Nothobranchius furzeri: one gene and its partner. Each later gene encodes a partner of the first gene's protein in a complex. Links are inferred from orthologs where the notes say so. Each region holds a gene or a part of one and is shown on either strand. Other genes may lie near its edges.

The links.
Region 2: strip1 (region 1) and strn4 share a complex: the UniProt entries of both Homo sapiens proteins name them as parts of the core of STRIPAK complex. The link is inferred for Nothobranchius furzeri from reciprocal best matches to the Homo sapiens genes STRIP1 and STRN4.

Annotation. Positions count from the first base shown.
Region 1 is NC_091743.1:46,737,857-46,742,390, forward strand, and holds the start of strip1 (striatin-interacting protein 1 homolog), read left to right. Parts: upstream 1-1,541; 5' UTR 1,542-1,741; coding exon 1,742-1,978; intron 1,979-3,392; coding exon 3,393-3,462; intron 3,463-3,566; coding exon 3,567-3,641; intron 3,642-3,718; coding exon 3,719-3,853; intron 3,854-3,948; coding exon 3,949-4,069; intron 4,070-4,190; coding exon 4,191-4,366; intron 4,367-4,442; coding exon 4,443-4,534. UniProt on the Homo sapiens protein: Plays a role in the regulation of cell morphology and cytoskeletal organization. Required in the cortical actin filament dynamics and cell shape. Part of the striatin-interacting phosphatase and kinase (STRIPAK) complexes.
Region 2 is NC_091753.1:40,954,491-40,958,310, reverse strand, and holds part of strn4 (striatin-4), read left to right. Parts: intron 1-1,543; coding exon 1,544-1,647; intron 1,648-1,837; coding exon 1,838-1,914; intron 1,915-2,012; coding exon 2,013-2,091; intron 2,092-2,173; coding exon 2,174-2,359; intron 2,360-3,820. UniProt on the Homo sapiens protein: Calmodulin-binding scaffolding protein which is the center of the striatin-interacting phosphatase and kinase (STRIPAK) complexes.

The DNA of each region.
Region 1 (4,534 bases):
AACCATAAAATGTGAGATTCCATAGAAATATGAAATATCAATCTGATGGATCTTTGAATATTTTAACCAGACGATCAGAACTTTTTATTGCAGGGATTACTTGACACTTCTTATAACTCGGAGGAAAGAGAGAGAGTCAGGTTTAAAATGGTTAAGAAATTTATTTCTACACGATTTAAACAAGACTAACTTTAACACTCTGTGTACTGATGGACTAAGGTGGAGTGAAACGTGCGATGATGGTGTGTGTGTGGAATGTTATCAGAACCAGCGTATCCGGAGAAGCAGTTTTGAGTGGGAGTGAATGTTTCGCTCTAAACTTCAGTAGATTTGTAACACACATGAAATGCCATCTGTCGGTCTACATACCCAGGGGAAGCCTCCGTTAGATCCAGAATGCTGAGGTCCTCTTGGACCCTTCTTGGTACCGAAGCCGGTAGAAAAGCAGCGTTGCCGACCAAACTAGTCTCGGAATGCTTCCAGGTCACGACAGGTTATCACTGGCGTCAGCGAGACCCTGAAGGGGTCGTGAGGTTCAGCTTTTATTCTGAAGGAACCGTTGCAGACAGGTGTAACTTATAATAGATTTTATCCAGCTTGTCGAGGTTCTTTATGGCTGAAGGGGAAGTCCGGATGGCCTGTCCGAGACTTCTCTAGAACGCTTTAAACCAAACAAAAGGTGGCGTGGGATAGTTTTTATAATTGTCATATTTTGGTTTACTGGCGAATCAGAATTTGACATGCAAAAGAGGGTTTAAACAAACACCACAGAAAACAATGCCTCGCGTCAGAAACGAAGGTTCTGATTGGATCAGACAAAAGGAAATGTGTCATGTGGCTTTAGCGTTACATGTCATTAGTGTCTAGTGGAAATGCCCAAGATTATAATTACTTGTAAAATACTACTGATCACAGGATTATAATATCAAGTAATAACATTGTCATTTCACAGATTGATTGAACATTGGGCTCACATTATTATTGGTAATAACTAAGTTGGTTGATTATGTGTTTATCAAGAGTTCTTCGTCTTCGTCTTGAGCTGTAACAGAGGTGAAGCAGTTCAATGAGCAGAGTGCATGAAATACCTTGGCCACTATCTCATGTAGATTAGCCTGTGTCAGAGACAAGTCTCTGCTCGAGCAGACGCAGCAGATCATGACCTTTTGGTCAAAAACAGGACATTCATGACACTACAACTGCAATGACTTTGGGACAATAGAATCGTTTCTCATTGGGATTTTACCAACAGACCATTGCAACATCTGAGACTGGATAATGTAAAGTAATACTTTAGTGTTCTTGTGATGGACTGGAGACCAGCAGGCTGCCCACCTCGCACAGTCTGCTGAAGGTGGACACCAGCTCCCAATGGAGTACAGGAGGAATTGGTTACACCATATGAACAATGAATATTTGCTGTAGTGTTGTCCATCACCATTTCTACTTATTGAACAACTAAAAAATTTTCAATGTTTGTTTTTCTGTCCAAATTTTCCTTCAATAAACACATGAAATTGCAAAACAGAGCTGTTGTCCTTGTGCGCATTTACATGATAGATGTACAGTGGGGGCATTGAAAGAAAATATAGAGTTTTTTGTTGAGTAAATATAAAGGTATCTGATGTTTGTATGAATTTGACCGCCGATCGTCAAAACCTTAAAAATTATAAACAATAAAATCTGATCTTAAAGCAAGGGTGGGATTGATCTTATAAAAATAATATAAAGTTGAACATGAATGACAGATTTAATACAAATTCGTCAAAAAGATGCAACAGAAGAACCGAGAGGAAGGTCCACGTACGCGTCAGAAACAAACTCTCGCTCAATTTTCATCTCGCGAGAGTTCGTCCAATTGCTAATGATGGATGTCGGTGGGAATGGTGGTGGTCCACCTGTAAACAATAAACAAAGAGCTATGCTGCCCAATAAAGGCAGGGGAGAATTTCCTCGGAATTCAAGAAAAGACTCAGAGGTGCGTTAACAGAAAAGTTAATTTTTATTTCGCCAGGGGGTTCTGTAATCAAGACGAGGCCTCGTTTCTGCTATTGTAACGTTAGCTTTGTGAGTGTCTCTTAACTAGCATGTCTTTAACAACTCGGCTGCTGCTATCTGCAGTAACTGACTCAAAATGTTTTAAATGTGTGTGTATATCTTTGTGATCTTTTTGTCCTCTGAAATGTTGCTGTTGGTTTAGCTCTAGCTTCGCTTAGAGTAGCTAGCTGATGCTAGCTAACAGGACTGCCTGTCAGAATTCTGTCTACCTGTTGAAAAAATGTGAGTCGGGTCCACTCGTGCTTTATGATCCATTTAGTTGCAGCAACAGTGCTTTAAAAACAGTTACGTGAATAAGCTAACATAGGGTTCTTCCTAGTCACAGTGCGTGTCTGCATCATGATGCATAGCAGCAATTTCCAGAATCTGCTCCAGGAGTTGATTTGACCCAATAAACAAACTGAATCAAGTACAACTAGAAATTAAAAAATACTTGATTTGTCTCTATTTTGGTGCTAGAATTGGTCTTTTAATACTGCAGTTTGTCCAAATGAAACCAAATTTACTCACCATGGTTGTAGTGGATATGCAGGAGCTCCACCATCAGTATTAGAAAGAAAACGATATTTTATATAGCGCCTCTCAAGATAAAAATCACGAGGCACTTCACAAAAACAAAAAGTACGGAAAGAGAGAGAGAAAATTAATAGGAAAGACCAGAGAGCATGCAGGGGTGGGCAGTCCTGGACCTCGAGGGCCGCTCTTTAGCATGTTTTAGTTGTTTCCCTGCATTAATACATTTCATTTTAATCAGCAGGTGATTAAAAGACCTCTACATAAGCTTGATGACCTGCTGAACAGGTTATTCAACCATTGAATTAAGTGTGTTGGAACAGGGAAATGACTAAAACATGCTGGGTAGTGCCCTCAGAGGACCAGAGTTGTCCACTGATCCACTTGGTTTGATGCTTGTACGTAAACACTAAATCATATTTGTTGTGGTTGTTGTGACTCATCCTTCAATTAACAATGGGATTGGGTTCTGGTTAGTTTGGAGATCAGATGTCAGCCTCTTTTCTCATTTTTATGTGTTTTTGTGTAGCAGGTGTTATCACTCGGGGCTGGACACATCTTGTGTGCAGTGTTGTGTTGCTGCAGTATGGAGCTAGGATTGTGTGCAGTGTGTTTGGTGTCAAAAATCCCTTTTATCTAACTCTGACATCCTTATGTTTCACAATAAATCATACTTTAGTCAGGGTTACTACAACACTTAATTTACATCTGGGATATATAAAATGATTTCTTAATTAAAATTCTAATTAGTGATACTTCTTCAAAACTGTAGGCAAGAAATTACTATTATTTTTGTCTGATATCTGATCTCATGTGTGCAGGGAATGTCTGAGTTGCCGGATCTCGAGTTTGAATATTCTGACACAGACAAGTGGGCTGCAGAGCTGTCAGGTTTGGATGCATATGCTTCTCAGAATCAGAAATCTAGATTCAGAATAAGTTTGACTTGTTCTTAACTAGACCATTAATTAAATTTTATTTTGTACCATTTTCAGAACTTTACAGTTACACTGAAGGACCAGAATTTGTTCTTAACAGGAAGTGCTTTGAGGAAGAATTCAGAGCTCATGGTAGGTGGCCCTAATTACCGATAAGATGCTTATAAAATATAAAATGTTTATTTAGCTGTTTCCTTGCTGTGCTTCAGTGTTTGATAAGAAGTGGACGGAGCTGGATGCAGCTCAGCACAGGGCTCATGCCTTGCGTCTCCTGGACAGTCTGGAGGTCATCACTCGTGAGAAGAGACTGAAGGTTGCTAGAGCTATTCTGTACATGGCTCAGGGTCAGTGTTCCCTCACTTTGAATAAAATCAACTTAATTACAAGGTAAAGATCTGCTTTATGTTTCTAACCTTTGATAAATCTCTGTTTTATGCAGGAACCTTTGGAGAATGCAGCTCTGAGGTTGAGGTGCAGCACTGGATGAGATATAACATATTTCTGCTACTTGATGTTGGGACCTTCTCTGCTCTGGTGGAACTACTTAACATGGAGATCGAGTATGTTTTATGTTCAGTTCATGAATGGTTGTTGCACATTAATTGCTGTAAAAGTTGTTGTTTCGCAGAGTTTTCAGTCTATGTATTTTCTGTTATATCACTGATGCACTCTACTCCTCAGTAACAGTGCCGCCTGTAGTAGTGCAGTCAGAAAACCGGCCATCTCCCTCGCCGACAGCACCGATCTCCGGGTGCTGCTTAACATCATGTACCTGATGGTGGAGACGATTCAACAGAACGACCCGGCCGACAAGCCTGAGTGGAAAATCATCAGGGAAACCTTCAGAGCAGAGCTGGGTAGATATGGACCTACAGTCGTGTTGAAGTTCAGTTCAGATGTAGAAGCTAAGTCTTTGCTGCTGCTTCAATGCAGGATCTCCTCTGTTCAACAACGAGCCCATTTCTGTCATGCTCTTTGGGATGGTTACCAAGTTCTGCAGCGGCCATGCTCCTCACTTCCCTATG
Region 2 (3,820 bases), on another chromosome or scaffold:
GATTAATGCAGGGGAACGTTGCTAATGAGCCATAAAACAAAAATTCTAGTCAACCATATTTTTATCCTTTTTAGCTACTGTTTTTATCTCTATTTAACAATTAAAGTATCTCTCCGGTAGTGTTTCTCTTATCTGATGGCACCATCTGGTGGCTGACAAGCATATCACACAAATAGTCACTCGATCCATTTTTTTAAGATGGCGACTTCATGTTTCTTGTTTCTGAATGTGCTTCTGTAGCCGACAAACAGAGCTAAAACACGCATTACAAGTATTATACTCATATCGTGTTGTGCTTTCATATATCTTAAACACTTGTTGGTGAAAAGTTCATCAACTCTGCATCAGCCGAGGTACTTCCTTAAATTTGAAGCACGTAAGCAGTACGCTATTGGTTAGTTCTGGTCGGCGCTCAGGTTCCTATTTCACGGAGCTCTGCGGGGCAGAGGGCGTTCTTATCAACAAAGACGTATTGCTTACATTACATCACAGTACATGATAAGACGATCACTTACGGATTTCTGAAAAATCATATATAACTTCTGAAAAGGGAAAACTCCGGAACCTTAAGTGTAAAAGTCACATTTAAATTTATGTTTATTTTGAGGAATCATCTCAGAACCAGGTCGACCGATACGGTTTCTCTATTGCTGATACCAATGCCGATATGTTGGAGGCATGGTCAGCCGATGTGCTTTTTGAACTCTGAATTTAACCAGCTGTTAAATCTTAACGTTGTGCACAGCTCATTGTTAATAATGGTAATTTAGAGTATTCATCATGCACATGTTACTAGTGAGCATAAAAATACATTTAAATTAAATGCTGCAACAGCACTGGGTTGTCCAAAGATGTGCCTGACTTTAAATCAGCTTTACTAAGGACAAATATCAGCTGTTGTATTAAAATCAGTAAATATCAGACCGATATATCGACTGGTCGATATATTGGTCTGCCCATAATGGCTACCCAATCCATTCATTTTCATTTGAATCAGGCCTTTTGAAGCAGAGGAACACTTGAATGTACCAAGGTCATTATCAAAATATAAAACATCCAAATTATATTAAATATAGTCAAGAAATCCTGTCCAGACTTGAGTCCAAAAAGGAAATTGTGGAGTAATTTAAAGGTTGCAGAGATGAGTGGGACGCTTTCCAAACTTGAATCCCCACTGATCAGATTCCAAAAAAAGAACATTCCCAGTGGAAATCTGTGAAGCTAGACGTTTTAATAAGCTGTTTGACCTTTGTAACGGCAAATGAAGAACTAATATTTTTATCATGGCATTTGTAGAGAAGTAAATCAGAAATACCTACATAGTCTTTACGGTCACTCTTCACTTCTTTGTGGCGTTTGCAACAAAAGGGATAAAAAATGAAAATGTTGTCTAAAGTATTGGGTTTTAGTTGGCCTATATGAGCCCATGTGGTAGGATCTGCACAATTTCCTTTTTAAAATAAGGATTAAGTGTATTCATAACCGTGTGTGTGTGTGTGTGTGTGTGTGTGTGTGTGTGTGTGTGTGTGTGCGTTACATACAGGCTCAGGTGGCATTCCTACAGAGTGAACGGAAAGGGCAGGAGAACATGAAACAGGACCTGGTGAGGCGGATCAAAATGCTGGAGTATGCCCTCAAACAGGAAAGGTTTGTTCTCATCACATTATTCCTGCAGCCTCTGATAAAATAGGACATGTATAGGACAAAGCTGATGTCGGCTGTTTTGGCCCCATCTAACAGTTGTGTACATTCTCCAGGTGCTGTGTTTAGTAAATAAAGCCTTGGATTGGCTTGTTGTCGGGTAATTTTCCCGATGGGATTTGTTTTGTGTCTCCAGGGCAAAGCACCAGAAACTGAAGACAGGAAATGACCAGAGTCCTGGAGAAAAGAAGCCAGAGATGGAGGCAGAGCAGCGTATGTTTTTCACTTGTTCTTGTCTACGAATGCTGCATCTTTTAGAGCCGAACGTGTTTTTTTTCCTACTCATGGCTTGTTGAACGTGTTTTCTGTAGTTCTCAATGGACCAGCTGAGACAGACTCTGAGCCAGCCAATCAGATGTCCTGGAAGGAGGGACGTCAGTTACTACGCAAGTGAGTTTGCCTGATAATTTCAAATCCACTGATGCTATATTATGCTTGTGTTTTATTATTGATTTTCCGTCTGTGGTTGCAGATATCTGGAGGAGGTCGGCTACTCAGATACCATCTTGGACATGCGCTCCAAACGTGTGCGCTCCCTGCTGGGTCGGAGCAGCCCGGAGACGAACGGGCCTCCGCCCGGCGACAGCTGTCAGGAGCCAGAGCCACGAGCAGCTGGAGAGTCCTTGCTGGTCCGGCAAATAGAGGAGCAAATCAAAAGGTGAGGCGTAAATACAGACGCTATCTTTGACGTTACGCCTCACGTACATGCTGCAGTGACGGCACAAACAGCTTCCACATTTTGCTGCACAAAACTCAAATTATTTGGGGGAAAAACAATCGGAAGAAAGGAGAGGAGGGCTAATTTTTCAAAACACTTAACCAGTCCAACCCAGTTCAAGTGGAGGGATGGAACTGGCTGCCAATAAACCTGAGTCACCTATTTACTGATGGTGTCAGGGCTAATAACAGTTACAGGATGAATCTGACAAGTCTAGTTTCTCCTCTAATGCTGCTGGGCGTAGTTCACAGTAAAAATAACAACAAAACAGGCTTCAGTAGACGGAGGCAAGGTTTTTAACTCAAAACTGAGATCAGAAAAAGTAAAAAAAAAATCCAGAGGTTTATAAAAACTAGAGAAACATTAAATGTAATCAGATTCATAGATTTGAGACATTGGACAAAGAAGTGGTTTTAGTATGTCAAAAATAGTGACAATACTTAAAAATTATTTTACAGCGGTGGATTACTCGTTTAAATAATACATTCGCAGTGGTCTCTGCTAGGAGCGAATGGCTTGTAAGTCATACTTTGAAGAAACAATTATACTGGTGCACCATTTCTAGGACCTCAGTTACCCACAGCTGAGCTTCAGACGGCAGGATTTGGAGTCTTATTTCCTGATATTTGGACATCTCGCCCTGGATTGGATAACAGCAACTCTACCACTGACTGTTTGCCCTCCAATGTTGATCTCTACAAATAATACAAGCCTGGAGAAGTTCTGCTGTGTGTTTGAGATGCTAATGCTAATGGTTAGCGTCTGCTAGTTGAGATGTCCTCTGCTGTTTCCTGGCTGTTAAACCAACAGCCTCCCCCGTCATGAGTCAAGATGGGTGAGTCCATGATTGTTAAGTGACCGTGTGATGTAGATCTGTCAGGTTTTTCTAATCCTAGAGTTTCACCGTCTATTTTCTATCGGAAGCTAATGCAGGAGACAGGAGTAGGAGACTATTTTCATGTTCAGCCTGCATGGAAAGCTCACAGTGACCAATTATATTCAGAAATATGTTCAAGTGTTTTCTAAATTCATTAATCAAAGTTTACAATTATAAAACATAAATTTATTTTAAAGAGCAAGTTCCCTGAGAAACCGATTTTTTATTTGTCGTTTTTTAAATATGATCAGTAACTCTCAGTTTAACGTACAGGAACTAAATTAGATGCTGAAAGAAAATAGACGTGGAAACATTGGGATTAGTAACGCCTGATAGATCTAAGTCACATTTAAAATTAGCGTTCGTGAACTCACCCATCTTGGCTTGTGGCAGGGAATGCTGTTGTTGGTCTAGTGCCCAGAAGAGAGTAGAAGCTAACCTTTACCATTAGCAACTCCATCACGCAGCACAACTCCTCCAGGCTTGTGTTATTTGTGGAGATAAACCATCAATGTTGCAGATCA